4 linked regions of the Nothobranchius furzeri genome follow. The protein of the gene in region 1 purifies or fractionates together with the protein of each later gene. This does not show direct contact. Links are inferred from orthologs where the notes say so. Each region holds a gene or a part of one and is shown in the gene's direction. Other genes may lie near its edges.

Region 1 (4,231 bases):
CTTGCTCTTTTATGAAGAAAAAAATATGTATGTATATATATATATATATATATATATATATATATATATATATATATATATATATATATATATATTAGGTAAACATGACTGACTGGAATTTTATCATCTTTTTTATTTAATTGCAGTCACAACTGAACTCAATTTACTGTAAACAATGAGCTTAGTTCTGGATCTGATTTGTTTTGGTCTTGTTGATTTTTTTGGTTATAACAGAGATCTCACTCCAGATGAAAACTACATTTGTTTTCCATCTAGTTTGCTGCCTATTGAAAAAAAATCTGTACAGGTGCACCATGGTTTGCATTTTGGTTGATATTTGAACCTCAAATGATAATACACATCTTTTGCACTGATATTTGACTGAAGGTCCATGTGTGCAGATCCCAAACCCATTGTTTTGAATGGAATAGTGTGTATTTTATCAGCCACAGTAAAAAGAAGGCAAATGATCATGAAAATTAGTTTGTTTTAACTCAAAGATCTGGGCTAAAATTTGAGTTTTGGTTTCCGTCAGAACAAATGTCTGGTGATTGGTAAGATAAACACACAGTTACTGTTTGTTCAGCTGGGAAACCAAAAGCAGCCGAGGTAAGACAAACAGCAGCTTTGTAAAAAGGTGATGCTGCCATTTAGAAAATTATTTATTAAGATGTACTTAAACTGCAAGAAGAGCATCCAAACTTGGATTACATTTGTCTCTTTCACAAGGCAAGTTATAATAAATGCATGTAGTTCAGTGTATGCTAGATTTGTAGTTTATGTTTTACAGTCATTTTCTTTCATTGTGAGCAACTGACAAATTATTATACACACAAGCTACAAGCGATTATCTAATTATTAATTTTATTTAATGATTTAAAGTGGACTAAAAGACCAAATCTAATGGAATCGTTTGCTTACAGAGTTGCAGGAATTGTGTTTTTACTATTATTTTTCTGACAATGCAAGTCAAGTTTTATTTTTAAAATGTACTAAATTTATTTTAATTTACTAATGTGGCAATTGTAATGACTGCATCATCACACATGAACCTAAAATGTTAACAGAACAATGGTGTAGTTTACGTTAGTTGCCACTTGGGGCGCCAAATCTCAATCTCCCCATTATTCTCAATAGTTAACAGAACAAGAGTGCAGCACCAGCATTATGCCACTAGGAAGCGCCAAATCCCCCATCTCCTTTTCTAAATTGATAACAGAATACTTGTGCAGTGTGCAGTTCCAGCTTTTCGCCACTGGTGGGAAATTAACAGCCCTCCTCCTTCATAAAAAGTCAATTAAAAAGTCCAGACAGCCATTTTGGTAAACACTTTACATGAATACAATTTTAATTATGTTTTAAGCCAAATAAATTGGGTGAGCAAACAAATATAGAATGATTAGAAACGTATTCAACTCTGTAAAAAGAGTTGTGTGTTCATAAGAGTTTGCAATTTTGTGTTTAGAGTATTTTACAGTGTATTTTGCCTTTGTTTTGCCAGTTCGATAATGCGCGGGTTCTGTCACGTCATTTCTCTGCGACGCACATGTCGAGGTGAAAGTGCAAGCTGCCATTTTTCGAGGCATTTTTTTCATGATTTAGGGCGAGAAACTTAGTTTGTGAGTTGTTTTTTAAATTATTTTTTGCTATTGTCTTTTATACATCATCGCTTGGAACACCTCAAAAAGGAATATTGTGGATTTTTGTGTTTGTTTTACGTAGTTAAGAGAAGAGGAGCTCCAGGGCTGCACTGTTCTGCAGATGGCTGCTTAGCTCGCCTAGCTAACGTTAGCAATCGCTGTAAACAAACAGCATTCAACAAAGATTCAGCAGCTACGCTATTGAAGCATCTTCAGCAAGTATTGGTTAGCTCTTTAGTTCCTTAAGTGCTTTCCTACCGTTAGATATATATATCTGTAACCGGCAGTAGAAAGCTGTCCAATGCTGTAAGTCTACGAGTTTAGCGACACAACTTGAGTTTTGATGACTGGGCGAGTTTCTCCAAAATAGCTCGGAGCTCGGTTGCTTTAGAGCCAGTGGGGGTCAGTTTTAGTGGAATTAGACACTCTAGAACCAGTTGGCATGTCGTCCTTTTCGGAATCTGCTTTGGAGAAGAAGCTGTCGGAGCTGAGCAGCTCTCAGCAGAGCGTCCAGACTCTGTCTCTGTGGATCATCCACCACCGCAAACACTCGGCTCTCATCGTCAAAGTCTGGCACCGAGAACTCAAAAAAGGTGAGATATAACAACAGGATCCTTGTCCGATCATAGCCCTGAATGAAGTTAAAGCTGTTGTAGGATGAGCTGGAGTCACATATTTCAAGCAGATTTTAACAAACGTATTAATAAGCAGATGCTTTTCAATTCTTCCAATGTTTACATCAAACATGGAAGAGAAAGCATAGAAAATAACTCCATCCATGCGGTATATTATTCAGGACGTACAAGTAGTATCAGTATCCATGTTTTGTTTTTGAGTAAGCTCTTGATTTACCGGTCGATCTACTTTCCAATCCTCATTTGTGGTCACAAGCTTTTGGTAGTGACCGAAAGAGTGAAGTTGCAGATACAAGCGGCCAAATTTAGTTTTCTCTGCAGAGTGGCTGGGCTCTCCCTAGGTGAGAAGCTCGGTCATCCGGGAGGGGCTTGGAGTAGACCTGCTGCTCCTCCACATCGAGAGGAACCAATTGATGTGGCTCGGGCATCTGGTCAGGATGCCTCCTGGACGCCTCCCTGGTGAGGTTTTCTGGCCACGTCCAACCGGGAAGAGACTCAAAGGAAGACCCAGGACACGTTGGAGGGACTATTGTCTGTCGGCTGGCCAGGGAACGCCCTAGAATTCCCCTGGAAGAGCTGGCCCAAGTGGCTGGGGAGAGGGAATTCTGGGCATTTCTGCTTAGGTTACTGCCCCCACGACCCGTCTCCGGGTACGTGGAAGACAACGGATGGATGAATGAATGTGCATCAGCTGTGAGAGCTGGGTTGCAATGATGATGAGTTAAGAGTCTTGAAATGTCACTTTTAAGTTAGTGACACTATCAATATCAACATCAAATAAATGTATTTTCTTTCATCTTTTTAACTCCTTAACGGCCAGTCATTTTCTGATCAGAAAAGCCCTTCGCTGCCAACGTTTTTCAGCGTTTTCACTGTTTATTTTTTAAGAGTCACAGAACATAGAGCTCTATGATGATGTCAACACCAACACTACCAGAAGAAAGAGTAGACTCACCTCTTACATCAGGAAGAATCCGCGTGTTTCTAGCGTTATCCGTTCTTTCATAATCCGTTGTCGAATTGTGATCGGCAAAAACTTTTCTGGTTCGCTCACTTTTTTTTACAACAGCGGCCCAAAACGATCTCCTATCACATGGGTTTTCTGCTTCCTGATCACGTGACATATAATGTACATGGATGAAGATCGGCTTTAGAGCTGGGATGTTTGTTCTCACGGTGCAGGAACTCGATCCGACGCCCACACAGTAAAAAAATGCAAATGACCACTTTTGTCGTCAGTGGCAGTTAATGAGTCAAATAGTTTCTTCTTGCAGATTCACTGTAACACAGTCATAAACAAGTTGCAGTAAACTAGATGAAGAGAAGTAGTGATGCACCGGCGCCGCTATGAAATTTTAGGGCCGATACCGATATTAAGATCACTGTTATAGCCGACAACCGATATTTGCCGATACCGATATACTGACATAAACTCATTCACTGCCATTGACGACTAAAGTCGTCATTTGCATTTTTTTAGTTTGAGCTTCGGAACGAGCCCCCGTGCTGAGAGAACAAACATCTCAGCCCTGACGCCGATCTTCATCTGCATACGTCACACGTCATGTGATCAGGAAGCAGAACATCCATGTATTAGGAGATCGTTTTGGGCCGTTCCTGTAAAAAAGTGAGGCGCGAACCGGAAAAGCGTCTGCCGATCACAATTCGATAACGGATTATGAAAGAATGGATAACGCTCAAAACACGCGGATTCTTCCTGATGTAAGAGGCGAGTCTACTCTTAGTTTTGGTTGTTTTGGCGTCGACATCATCCTAGCGCACAACGTTCTGTGACTCTTAAAAAAACTGTAAAAACGGTGAGAAACGCTGGCAGCGAAGGCCGTTGGCGATCAGGAAACAGCTGGCAGCGAATGAGTTTATGCTTCTAAAATCAACAGATTTTGTAAAGAATGAAAATTATTAAAGCTGAATTTACGTTATTATGTACACCCCACA
Region 2 (3,987 bases), on another chromosome or scaffold:
GCATCACAGCTTCTACAAAAGGTTATCCTCTAGTCCTGTTGAGTCATAACACAGGACAAACATCCTTATTTGCAACACAAATAAGAAGTGAACGAAGTGTTTAGTTCACTGAACCCTGGCTTGGACACGTTGGGAGGGTTGAAGGTGCTGAAGAACGGGTTGCTTTTTATTCTAAACACTGCATCGTGTGTCTGTATTTATCTGAACTGAGGCCACTACATCAGAAAAAACCAACCTGTGTCCTTGTTCATCAGTTCATTGTAGTAAGCGAAGAAGGCTCTGAACTCAGCTGGTCTGTGGGAGAGGGCTTTGAAGACATTTGGCAGGAAGCCTCCCTGTGCACAAATATGAGCAGATTAATGATAAAGGCGTGTGATCGCGAGACCTAAAGGCTGGTTTTAATTTAAAACCTTTGACTCCACTTCCTCCATGAGCTCAACTATATCATAAGGCAGGTCCTTCTTGTAAGGAATGGGATAGCGGCTGATCTTCTCCGGAAGGGTGCCGGAGGACGGTCTGGTCCCAGCCGCCACTGCAGCCACCTTACCCCGAAACAAGCGACCCGACCGGAGACACGCCTGCACAGACAGCCGAAGAGTCAGATAAACAAAACACACAATCAAATCTACGGTTCGCTACTTACAATTTTAGAGGTGACAGGAAGACGAAGCAACTTGAAAACGAGGTTGCTCGCCATGACAGAAGGAGGACTTGGAGAGTAATTTTAACCACGGAGACAAAATTCCTATTTTCTTTCTAATGATGTAGCAGAATTGTTTATTTTAATCTATTTCGTTCTTTAAAACTTCAAACCACCTGTAGTGTGGTCCCAATGACCGCTAAACAACATGACGATTGTGCTAAAGTTGGATTACTTTCACCTAAATAAATTGTTTTCGCTTCGTCTGTGTGTCAGATAAGAGTCCACTAAAAAACAGCCAATCACAGAGCGGCTTTCAGTCACGCCTATTGTTTTCCACGCCTCTCTGCAGTAATACTTCCTCGCCACAAGAAAGCAGTATTAAAATGAACCGACGGTGGAACTCGTTTAAATCGGATTACTTATTCCGTTAATTGTTTTTAAATAAACAGTTTTTAAAAATCCCTGAAGATAATTTTATTTTTTTTATTTCCCGTTACAATACAATTTACAACAAAATTTCAAGAATCCTCTTTGACCCGGAAGAGGTTCTTCTACGCCGGACGTCCATGATTCCCTTTCAACAAAGAACAAGAGAAGCCACTTCGACGTATTTAAAAGTATATTTTTAAGGTGGAATTTAAACTTATCAAGAAATGTTTTATCACGTGAGTATGTACATTGTTCTCGTAATCGGGGGTAGCTGAAGGCTTAATGGATGTTTCGATTTGGATCGTTTATCAACAACGTCGTAGTCTTTCCCTCTTCTTCTAACCTGGACTAGTTTTCATATTTTTAATCAACGTGACATTTTATTCATCCATTACTCAATCTACAGAGGCTGGTTTATGCATTTTTAAAATACGAACGTGTGCACAACCAATTTACAGATGAAGGATTTTGTTGCACTTTACAGATTTCTTTGGAGCATGAAATCCTTCTCCACCCCAGGTACTTCGGTCCCAATCTACTTAACACCGTGAAGCAGAAGCTTTTCACAGAGGTAGAGGGAACTTGTACTGGCAAGTGAGTAACAGCATTTTATTATTGTTCATGATAACTTTAACTGGGCTTTGCAACGACTGAAAGCGTTAATGAAACATTGACTATGGCATAACTAGATCAACGTGTTGCTGCCTTGTTAAAAAGTTGGATTAACTCTTTTGTTTTTTCTGTTTCCCAGGTATGGATTTGTCATTGCAGTAACCACTATCGACAACATCGGAGCGGGTGTCATCCAGCCAGGCAGAGGTTTTGTCCTCTATCCAGTCAAGTACAAGGCCATTGTTTTCCGCCCGTTTAAGGGCGAGGTGGTGGACGCTGTGGTCACTCAGGTTAACAAGGTATGGCTCACTCATCTTTAGTCATTGTTCTTCGTAGCAGATCTTAATTCTTTAGCAGAACTTCACGCTTGTGAAAACTAAACAAATTGAGGATTGTTATGCCAGTACGTTTGCGCCTCGCCTTTTTTAACCTTTTTCTGTTTGCTTGCAGGTTGGATTGTTCACAGAAATCGGTCCCATGTCTTGCTTCATCTCTCGCCATGTAAGTCTGTTAAAGCATCGGTTTCACTAGAATCATCTTTTTATTTCATTATTTATTTAATGTTGTTTTGATCATATTTTTATTTTCAGTCCATCCCCACAGAAATGGAGTTCGACCCCAATTCTAATCCACCTTGCTACAAGACTGGCGATGAGGTTGAATATCTGTAACTTTTCTATTTTACTGCTGCTTGTTTAAACAGTCATATTAATAAAAATCAACTTCAGCATGTAAAAAGTTCTGCTTTTTTTCCCCCTAATGTGTAAATGTTGCTCTATCACACTTTTGTTGATGCTTCTTACTTTTTATAGGACATTGTAATCCAGCAAGATGATGAGATCCGGCTGAAGATCGTGGGAACACGAGTCGACAAGAATGACATTGTGAGTTTATGTTCTTTTTTAAAGTCACTACAGTTGTTTAGTTCATGTTTCCTTATTACTTCATATTATTTATACACACTGCCTGGCCCAAAGAAAAGCTGCCATCCAAAAAACGTCACACATTCCAATACTTCGTTGGACCACCTTTAGCTTTGATTACGTCACACATTCGCAGTGGTGTTCTTTCGATGAGCTTCTCCAACGTCACCAGATTTGTTGCCATCCAGTGTTGCATTAATATTTCACCAATATCTTGCATTGATGGTGGTAGAGTCTGACCGCTGCACAAATCCTTCTCCAGCACATCACAAAGATTCTCAATGAGGTTGAGGTCTGGACCGTGGTGGCTGATCCATGCGTGAAAATGCTGCCTCATGCTCCCTTGGGGCGACGGTGGCACAGGAGTTAAGTGCTCGCCCCGTAATCGGAAGGCTGCAGGTTTGAGCCCCGCTCAGTTTGTTATTGTGTCCTTGGGCAAGACACTTAACCCACATTGTCTGCTGGTGGTGGTCGGAGGGACCGGTGGCGCCAGTGCTCGGCAGCCTCGCCTCTGTCAAAGCACCCCAGGGCAGCTGTGGCTACTAGTGTTGTCAAAAAAATCGATACCCAGATATAAATCGATACTAAAAGTGGTATCTAAATGAGATATTCCATCCCTGTGGTATCGATATTATGGACTATTATACACAGCCTTCTTCAAGTACACCGACACGCACGACAGCCAGATGCCGTAAAGCAGCCTCCGCCTCCCAGACAAACAGAAGAAGAAGACGCCGCATGGCTACATTGCAATTTCCCACGCGAGTTGTCTCCGATCCAAGTTTTGTCTGCCAAATAAATAAACAAAAACATAAACAGCGAATTTGGGAGGCGCTTCACAGCCCAACTTAATTAGCATACCAAGTCCAACACGTAGTTGTATATTCACGCTTATGTGCTTAAAGGAAAACTCCTGTTTATTGCAACCCGGACTTAATTTCTAGCATGCAGTACGTTTGTTTACTCACGCTGACAACTTTGGTGCTACTTGGCAGAGGTGGAAAGTAACGAATTACATTTACTCACGTTACTGTAATTGAGTAGCTTTTTTGTATATTTATACTTTTTAAGTCGTTTTTAAAAGCTGTACTTTTACTTTTACTTGAGTAAGTTTTTAAAAAAGAATTGTAATTCACTACATTTTAAATGATATCCATTACTGAGTAAAAATAAATTATAGGCTTAATAAATTAAAAATATTACGTGTTGCAGCGTCGGAACAGAAAGAGACACCTGCATGATCACCGCGTCTTTTGCTCAAAGACATCAGTTCAGTCGATCAACTCGCTGTTTACCTCCTCTCTCTCTTCTCTCCTGTGGGTTGGAACCCGCACCTTCGCGCACCGGTGTGACGTCATCAGAAATCTGCTCGGTTCGGTA
Region 3 (4,092 bases), on another chromosome or scaffold:
AAACATGTTAGCAACATGCTACATCTACTGCTAAGTAAAGTCATGCTGCCCGCCCGGTGACCTTTTGATTCGGAATGTTCTTCCTTAAAGAAGGGTTTGATCTGAGGGCCAAGGCGCCAACCCTAACCCGACGGAACAAAGCAAAACACACGTGGGCCAGAACATAGAACTCACAGGATCTGAAAACCTCAGCAAAGGTAACCTTCTGGTGCTCTGGTCCATGACCTCCAGCATGCACCTGAGCGCTTCGGCGCTGAGTGACGCAGAGAAAAAGGGAGGGCCGTCTTTGTCTGAGGTGGAGGAGCTCAAACCACCTGTGTCTTGTTCCTGAGTGATGGTAGCACGCTGGAGACTGGAGTAGAACCAGCAACGCTACAGATCTCCCTCATCTCGCCCGATTCGGGTGTCGTCGCTTGGTTGCTGTTGTTTGGTAACTTGTATCTCAGATTTTGGTTTGTGTCACTGAACGCTGCACTGGGGCTCCCTGGGCCATTTAGCACAGCGATACTAAAGCTGCACATAGCCATGACTGAGAGCATCCTATCACCCAGCATGACGGTGTGGTATGGCAGCTGCATCGTCCAGAACAAAAAAGACCTGGCCAGGGTGGTGAAAACTGCTCAGTGGATCGTGGGGGGCCCACTACCAGATCTGGACTCTGGAGTATATACCATCCGACTACAAAGGAAGGCTAACCGTATCGCTGCTGATCCCTTCCATCCAGGTCACAAACTGTTGATGCCGCCACCATCGAGGAAGCGGTACAGGAATATCAAGGCCACAACCACCAGGCTGAGGAACAGCTTCTTCCCTAGAGCTGTTAAAGCCACGTGGTGGTGGTGAGGGACAATCTGAACATCAGTGGACAGGTAGGTGGACACACCAGACTCCACTGCCCTGCGTAGCTCGCGCCACTAAGTCACGAGTCAGATGGGTGGAGGGACAGAAACAGCCTCTGGGGCTTTGAGACGCCGGTGTGCAGCAGGAGGGATGACAGGACAACATGAGACTCACACATCTCTGGACCACATCACTGAGCTGCTCCAGAGCCATCGCTGCTGTCCTCGGATCAGCCGGAAACAGAGAGGCACTTCCGTTTGAAACAAGCTAGGTCCGCGCGAGGCCACCGCGAGCCGGAGCTTCAGTCGGAGACGCGAACAGAGCGGGAAGCTTCTGGAATCACAGCAGATAAAAACATCACACAAACCTTTCCTTCATGACCCAAACAAACCACATTTACATCTCCGATGCAGCGCGCCTTCCGGTTTGACCCCCTCAGCTACCGTAGAAACGTCACAGGTCAAAGGTGAACACAGAAGAAACATGGAGCTGGTGGAGAGCAGGAGGAGGAGAGGAGGCTCCACTAAAACCTCCAGGAAAGGTTGGTTTTTAATCCCAATCCAGAGTTTACCGGAAACAGGACAACGTTTTCACCCTCGTTACGTCCGTTCCGTGTTGATTTTCCGGTCCGGTTCGACCCAGCAGTGGAGCTTGTTCCCGTTCCGCTTTCAGCGGGAAGGTGGAACAGACTCGTTCTCTGTAGAAAAGAACCGAAACAAACCTGTCGCGGATCAGAGCTGCTCCTTCTGTAGTTCATCACCAGGTCCTTCTATAGTTCATCACCAGGTCCTTCTGTAGTTCATCACCCGGTCCTTCTGTAGTTCATCACCCGGTCCTTCTGTAGTTCATCACCCGGTCCTTCTGTAGTTCATCACCAGGTCCTTCTGTAGTTCATCACCAGGTCCAGGTCCTTCTGTAGTTCATCACCACGTCCAGGTCCTTCTGTAGTTCATCACCAGGTCCAGGTCCTTCTGTAGTTCATCACCAGGTCCAGGTCCTTCAGTAGTTCATCACCAGGTCCTTCTGTAGTTCATCACCAGGTCCTTCTGTAGTTCATCACCTGGTCCTTCTGTAGTTCATCACCTGGTCCTTCTGTAGTTCATCACCAGGTCCTTCTGTAGTTCATCACCCGGTCCTTCTGTAGTTCATCACCAGGTCCTTCTGTAGTTCATCACCAGGTCCTTCTGTAGTTCATCACCAGGTCCAGGTCCTTCTGTAGTTCATCACCAGGTCCTTCTGTAGTTCATCACCAGGTCCTTCTGTAGTTCATCACCAGGTCCTTCTGTAGTTCATCACCAGGTCCTTCTGTAGTTCATCACCAGGTCCAGGTCCTTCTGTAGTTCATCACCAGGTCCTTCTGTAGTTCATCACCAGGTCCTTCTGTAGTTCATCACCCGGTCCTTCTGTAGTTCATCACCCGGTCCTTCTGTAGTTCATCACCAGGTCCTTCTGTAGTTCCTCACCCAGTTCTTCTGTAGTTCATCACCAGGTCCAGGTCCTTCTGTAGTTCATCACCAGGTCCAGGTCCTTCTGTAGTTCATCACCAGGTCCTTCTGTAGTTCATCACCAGGTCCTTCTGTAGTTCATCACCTGGTCCTTCTGTAGTTCATCACCTGGTCCTTCTGTAGTTCATCACCAGGTCCTTCTGTAGTTCATCACCCGGTCCTTCTGTAGTTCATCACCAGGTCCTTCTGTAGTTCATCACCAGGTCCTTCTGTAGTTCATCACCAGGTCCAGGTCCTTCTGTAGTTCATCACCAGGTCCTTCTGTAGTTCATCACCAGGTCCTTTTGTAGTTCATCACCTGGTCCTTCTGTAGTTCATCACCAGGTCCTTCTGTAGTTCATCACCCGGTCCTTCTGTAGTTCATCACCAGGTCCTTCTGTAGTTCATCACCAGGTCCAGGTCCTTCTGTAGTTCATCACCAGGTCCTTCTGTAGTTCATCACCCGGTCCTTCTGTAGTTCATCACCAGGTCCTTCTGTAGTTCATCATCAGGTCATTCTGTAGTTCATCACCTGGTCCTTCTGTAGTTCATCACCAGGTCCTTCTGTAGTTCATCACCTGGTCCTTCTGTAGTTCATCACCAGGTCCAGGTCCTTCTGTAGTTCATCACCTGGTCCTTCTGTAGTTCATCACCAGGTCCAGGTCCTTCTGTAGTTCATCACCAGGTCCAGGTCCTTCTGTAGTTCATCACCAGGTCCAGGTCCTTCTGTAGTTCATCACCCGGTCCTTCTGTAGTTCATCACCCGGTCCTTCTGTAGTTCATCACCAGGTCCTTCTGTAGTTCATCACCCGGTCCTTCTGTAGTTCATCACCAGGTCCAGGTCCTTCTGTAGTTCATCACCAGGTCCAGGTCCTTCTGTAGTTCATCACCAGGTCCTTCTGTAGTTCATCACCAGGTCCTTCTGTAGTTCATCACCTGGTCCTTCTGTAGTTCATCACCTGGTCCTTCTGTAGTTCATCACCAGGTCCAGGTCCTTCTGTAGTTCATCACCTGGTCCTTCTGTAGTTCATCACCTGGTCCTTCTGTAGTTCATCACCAGGTCCTTCTGTAGTTCATCACCTGGTCCTTCTGTAGTTCATCACCAGGTCCTTCTGTAGTTCATCACCTGGTCCTTCTGTAGTTCATCACCAGGTCCAGGTCCTTCTGTAGTTCATCACCTGGTCCTTCTGTAGTTCATCACCCGGTCCTTCTGTAGTTCATCACCCGGTCCTTCTGTAGTTCATCACCCGGTCCTTCTGTAGTTCATCACCAGGTCCTTCTGTAGTTCATCACCCGGTCCTTCTGTAGTTCATCACCAGGTCCAGGTCCTTCTGTAGTTCATCACCTGGTCCTTCTGTAGTTCATCACCAGGTCCAGGTCCTTCTGTAGTTCATCACCAGGTCCAGGTCCTTCTGTAGTTCATCACCAGGTCCAGGTCCTTCTGTAGTTCATCACCCGGTCCTTCTGTAGTTCATCACCCGGTCCTTCTGTAGTTCATCACCAGGTCCTTCTGTAGTTCATCACCCGGTCCTTCTGTAGTTCATCACCAGGTCCAGGTCCTTCTGTAGTTCATCACCAGGTCCAGGTCCTTCTGTAGTTCATCACCAGGTCCTTCTGTAGTTCATCACCAGGTCCTTCTGTAGTTCATCACCTGGTCCTTCTGTAGTTCATCACCTGGTCCTTCTGTAGTTCATCACCAGGTCCAGGTCCTTCTGTAGTTCATCACCTGGTCCTTCTGTAGTTCATCACCTGGTCCTTCTGTAGTTCA
Region 4 (4,324 bases), on another chromosome or scaffold:
GCTGATTTATTATGAAGTTCTGACTAGCCTGGTGCGTGGAGCTGGGGTGTCATTACAGTGTCCTCAGATGAAAAAGCTTGACTTTGATCATTTTTCATATACTGGCCCACCTCTGTTTATTACACTTAAACACACTAAATCATTGGCCCAGTTTTAATATTTACATGAGTAGTCTTAAACTCAAACTTCAAACCATTAAAAGGTTCCCAAACCCTCAAGCATTTCATCTATAAGTGTTACTGTAGCCTAACCTGGTGAGCCAGGCCCATGGGGGACCAGCTGAGGCTCCTGTGGAGCGAGGCTATACCCACAAGCTGGGCTCAGTCTCCTCCACCGGATGTGTACCGGGAAAGTTTGGCTCCAAAAGAAAAGTTATCGCTTCCAAATCAGAACTTATGCTCTTTAAATCAAGAACATTTAAACTGTCACAAGTATAAAAAGTACTTATTTGAGTGTTGCTGCGTTTGAATGAGGAAAATGTGGAAAATTGAAAGTCTGAAAACTGTTTCTGGAATATTTGGGTCCATTTTCAAACCTGGTCAGTTCATTACACCCGTGACCACCGTGCGTGTAATGTTGCTTTTAAGTCCTGTCCATCATGAAACTTGGTTTAAAGGCGTTAATGCTGAGTCCACTCTTATTTTATGTGACAATAACAGATGTTTCTGGAAGGGATTCAGCTGAAGTTTCAGGAACGATGGACTTTTTTCTATTGGTCCAAGGAAAATGATTTGTAATTTGTTTGTTTTGCACAGTAACTTGTACATTTTGACTATAATACACAAAGGTGTGGACTCGAGTCACATGACTTGGACTCGAGTCAGACTTGAGTCATTATTTGAATGACTTCTGACTTGACTTGATAAAATCTATAAAGACTTATGACTTGACTGGACTTGAACACCAGTGACTTGTGACTTGAATCGGCTTGCATCTGTTGACTTGATGATGACTTGAGAATGTTTGATATTTTGTCACAGAAGTGGCACGACATGGACAAAAATCATAAATCATTCTTGGTTCTGGGTTTGATTTACTGCTGAATGCAGCAGCGCTTTGTTTATAACCAGTCTCAGTTTCTGCTTGTTTGAGCAAAAAAAAAGAAGCTTTAAGAAGGTTTTTTTCTGGAATTAATTTATTATCATCGTCATTAAATAGAAGTTGGACAGATGGCTTGATTATCACTTGAAAATTCAAAGTTAAGGACTTGACTTGGACTTGGTTGTCTTTGACTTGGATTTGACTTTAGACTTGAATGGAAAGACTTGTGACTTACTTATGACTTGCAAAGCAGTGACTTGGTCACACCTGCTATACATGAAGAATTTGAGCCCACTTGGACATGCTTTTGAAAATGTTTTTCCTATTTATTTAGTTTATGATGAGAATATTTACAAAAATACAGAAAAACATTTGTATGTGGAGTATGTACAGTCTATGGTCACACCTCTGAAAATACATTTGTGAAAAGCTTCGCGGCGGATGCGGAGGTGACCTCTCTCCAGCAGGGGGCGGTAGTCCACCGTTAGCCCAGAAGAAGAAGACTCAAAGATGGACGACGCTTCTCTGCGTGTTTTGGAGCGCTTGACTGAAGTGGAAGAGGCGGCTGAGGATGTTCTCACCGCCAAACAACAGGTAAACACATCCAGACCCACCGTGGCCAGGCTGGTTCTGTGAGACCCGTAGCGGGTTACAGCTGCTAGCTTCATGCTAACAAGTGTGAGTGGAAGTGACGTACGCGGTGAGACCCGTAGCGGGTTACAGCTGCTAGCTTCATGCTAACAAGTGTGAGTGGATGTGACGTACGCGGTTTTCAGACGCAGTTCTGTGCGTTAGCAGCTTTATGCATGAGGATTTTAGCGGTTGGAGCCAAGAGAGCTAAGTTCTGGTGTTGGTTCAACACTTCATTTACCCGTCACCACACCGATGTTGTCTAGAGTCAAATGTCCTTCTGTAGCTGGTCCAGTCAGGTGGTGCGTTCATGATATCTGAAGAAAACTGTTGTTCTAAAACCACACACACACGCACGGATATCCCAGTTAATAATGTCCTCCCTTAAAACAAACGTGTGTGTGTGTTTCAGATTGTTGACCTGGACATGAAGAGAAACTTCAACAGAGAGGCGCTGAACGCACTGAAACATGAGATGTCGGATAAAGGTTTGTGATCCATCAGCACTCAGGCCACCAGAACACCACAGAGGAACCCTTGTAGCTACAACAACCAAACGTTCCCATAAAGCTGGAACATCCGTCTGTTATTATTGCCTAAAGGAACACGTGTAATCTGTAAATAATCTCAGGCTAATTATGAAACTCGTGGTTGTTTATTGGTGACCCTGGTGATGAAGGAGTAATGGCCGCCTCTGCTGCCGTCCACAGAAAAAGTCAAGGTTTGCTTTGGAAACATGTTCATCAAGTTCTCCAAGTCTAAAACGACGCAGATGATCCGGAAAGGTGATCCTTTATCGTTTACAAGTTAGATCTTCCGTTTTTAACACGAGTCGAATTTAGTCTGAGCCGTTTCTCCAACCTGCAGACCAAGAGCAGCTGGACAAGGAAATAAACCACCTTCGCAAAGAGCTGAGAACTAAAGTCGGTCGTCTCAACGAGATCGAAGGTATGTGTGTTGTGACACATCAGCGGTTCCATCCACCACACTAATGATTCAAGCACCGGTACTACAGACCCTTGTTCACCTCATAGATCCTCACGAAACAGCAGTCTCCGGATCAGAATGGACCTGGAACCATTTCTTCATTTAACATTTATTTTATGGGCACTAAATGAAAGCTAAAGCTTTTTAAAGAGTTTATTATTCTGGTTATTATAATAATAATGATAATAAATGTGACCATTAATTTGGTTGCAGTCTCTCGGACACTTCCTAAACGTTTAGTGTGCTCATTTAGAAAATATTTATCGTTTGTTAGAAAAGCAACACTGGAAACTAATCCTCCAGCTTCATATTGTTTTAATGAGAGGTCCATTTTCATAGCAGGACATTGTTGTTCGTGAACTGCATCCTAGTGAGCACACTTCTCTTCATTATGAGGCACAAACAGTAAGAAACTCTGACTGCAAAGAAAATAATCAGGAACTCGATGAAAAAGCACCGACACTGGGATCCTGGTGTTGGAGGTCTAGACTCGTCAGACCAGGCAACGTTTTCCGGTCCCTTCTGGTGATGCTGTGGGGATTTGAGGCCCAGGTTCCTGTTGTTGGCTGACAGCTGGTGTGGTCTTCTGCTGCTGGAGTCCATCTGGTGCTGGGTTAGGGTTGAGTGTCTGTTTCAGAACTAAAGGTTCTAGTTCAGTGAGCTGTCGGCCCAAAGCACCAGCTGTCTCCCAACAGGTGTTGTGAATCCTTCCGTGTGATAAGTTGTTGGATCTGAGTGGAGAAAGAGTTAGTAGTGATGACCCGTTTTATCACAAAACGCCGCTCTGACACATTTTTCACGCGTTCTTTGGCTTACCGTAACAGTTTTTGTCTTCTGAAACATTCAGGCGGCTTCTGAAAGAGAAGCGTCACAATAATAAATTATTTTCAGTTCCTGCAAGAAGTGGACGGCTCAGCCTCTCCGTCTCACACTCAGACAACGACAGACGACCACAGCTGTAAATAGAAATGACCGTGGTCGGGCCACGAAAAGGACAAAACCCTGGAAAAACGACCAAGTTCCCCGTGTGGTCAGCTCAGTCACTGGGCTCCTGCAGCCCACACACCCAACCCCCCAACTGGGCTCGCCCCGGACCTGTACAATAGTAGACACAACAGATCCCGGGTCAGTCAGGAACGCTGGAAAGGAGATCAGATTTGAGGATCACATGATCACGGTTTTATTTATTTCAGACTTTCACTCCACAGGGGCGTGTGCTGAGCCCCACCTGCACGAACCACTCGTGTGGCTGTTCTGCTAGCACCTGCACCTGAAGCTTATCAGTGATGTTGGTGTTGTTGGTTTGATCTCACACGACGAGCAGCTGGCGTGAGTGATGGCGGTGCCGGAGCTGATGGGTGTTTGGAAAACATTTATTTGTTGTTTGAGTTGATCCTTTGAAGCACCTCATGTTTGTCTGTAGAGTATTTGTTGTTTGTGATATTTTTTCTTTGTTGTTTGCTTGCTTTCAGGAAATCCTGAGCTGAGAGGTTATAATCTGTCTCCTCTATCCTCTGATGAGATGAAAGCTATCACCAGCCTTCTGAAGAGATGAGCAGCTAACTGCTGAGGACGAAAACGCCGACGTGTTAAACCCAGTTTCTGTACAGCTCTGCTCAATAAATCCAGGACAGTAACTGATGTTGTTGAAGCTGAACAAAAATGT

The links. Proteins that work in one complex are often made in the same cells at the same time.
Region 2: the proteins of rprd1b (region 1) and polr2g purify together in Homo sapiens (affinity purification with mass spectrometry; 3 studies listed by BioGRID and IntAct, counting the BioPlex papers as one, with this or other methods). This does not show direct contact. The link is inferred for Nothobranchius furzeri from reciprocal best matches to the Homo sapiens genes RPRD1B and POLR2G.
Region 3: the proteins of rprd1b (region 1) and rpap2 purify together in Homo sapiens (affinity purification with mass spectrometry; 5 studies listed by BioGRID and IntAct, counting the BioPlex papers as one, with this or other methods). This does not show direct contact. The link is inferred for Nothobranchius furzeri from reciprocal best matches to the Homo sapiens genes RPRD1B and RPAP2.
Region 4: the proteins of rprd1b (region 1) and pdrg1 purify together in Homo sapiens (affinity purification with mass spectrometry; 3 studies listed by BioGRID and IntAct, with this or other methods). This does not show direct contact. The link is inferred for Nothobranchius furzeri from reciprocal best matches to the Homo sapiens genes RPRD1B and PDRG1.

The regions. Positions count from the first base shown.
Region 1 is NC_091755.1:32,651,903-32,656,133, forward strand, and holds the start of rprd1b (regulation of nuclear pre-mRNA domain-containing protein 1B), read left to right. Parts: upstream 1-1,427; 5' UTR 1,428-2,082; coding exon 2,083-2,233; intron 2,234-4,231. UniProt on the Homo sapiens protein: Interacts with phosphorylated C-terminal heptapeptide repeat domain (CTD) of the largest RNA polymerase II subunit POLR2A, and participates in dephosphorylation of the CTD by RPAP2. Transcriptional regulator which enhances expression of CCND1.
Region 2 is NC_091741.1:90,872,830-90,876,816, reverse strand, and holds the start of polr2g (DNA-directed RNA polymerase II subunit RPB7), read left to right. Parts: upstream 1-1,143; 5' UTR 1,144-1,296; coding exon 1,297-1,308; intron 1,309-1,556; coding exon 1,557-1,666; intron 1,667-1,823; coding exon 1,824-1,983; intron 1,984-2,134; coding exon 2,135-2,185; intron 2,186-2,274; coding exon 2,275-2,340; intron 2,341-2,496; coding exon 2,497-2,568; intron 2,569-3,987. Other genes in the region: uncharacterized protein si:ch211-175m2.5, read right to left, coding at 236-335, 411-578, 644-697. UniProt on the Homo sapiens protein: Core component of RNA polymerase II (Pol II), a DNA-dependent RNA polymerase which synthesizes mRNA precursors and many functional non-coding RNAs using the four ribonucleoside triphosphates as substrates.
Region 3 is NC_091751.1:71,621,053-71,625,144, forward strand, and holds the start of rpap2 (putative RNA polymerase II subunit B1 CTD phosphatase rpap2), read left to right. Parts: upstream 1-1,248; 5' UTR 1,249-1,323; coding exon 1,324-1,381; exon of another isoform or gene 1,382-1,414; intron 1,415-4,092. Other genes in the region: glmna (glomulin, FKBP associated protein a), read right to left, coding at 1,015-1,053.
Region 4 is NC_091743.1:5,381,238-5,385,561, forward strand, and holds pdrg1 (p53 and DNA damage-regulated protein 1), read left to right. Parts: upstream 1-1,480; 5' UTR 1,481-1,551; coding exon 1,552-1,635; intron 1,636-1,774; exon of another isoform or gene 1,775-1,943; coding exon of another isoform or gene 1,944-1,973; intron 1,974-2,083; coding exon 2,084-2,159; intron 2,160-2,381; coding exon 2,382-2,456; intron 2,457-2,538; coding exon 2,539-2,619; intron 2,620-4,130; coding exon 4,131-4,213; 3' UTR 4,214-4,295; downstream 4,296-4,324. UniProt on the Homo sapiens protein: May play a role in chaperone-mediated protein folding.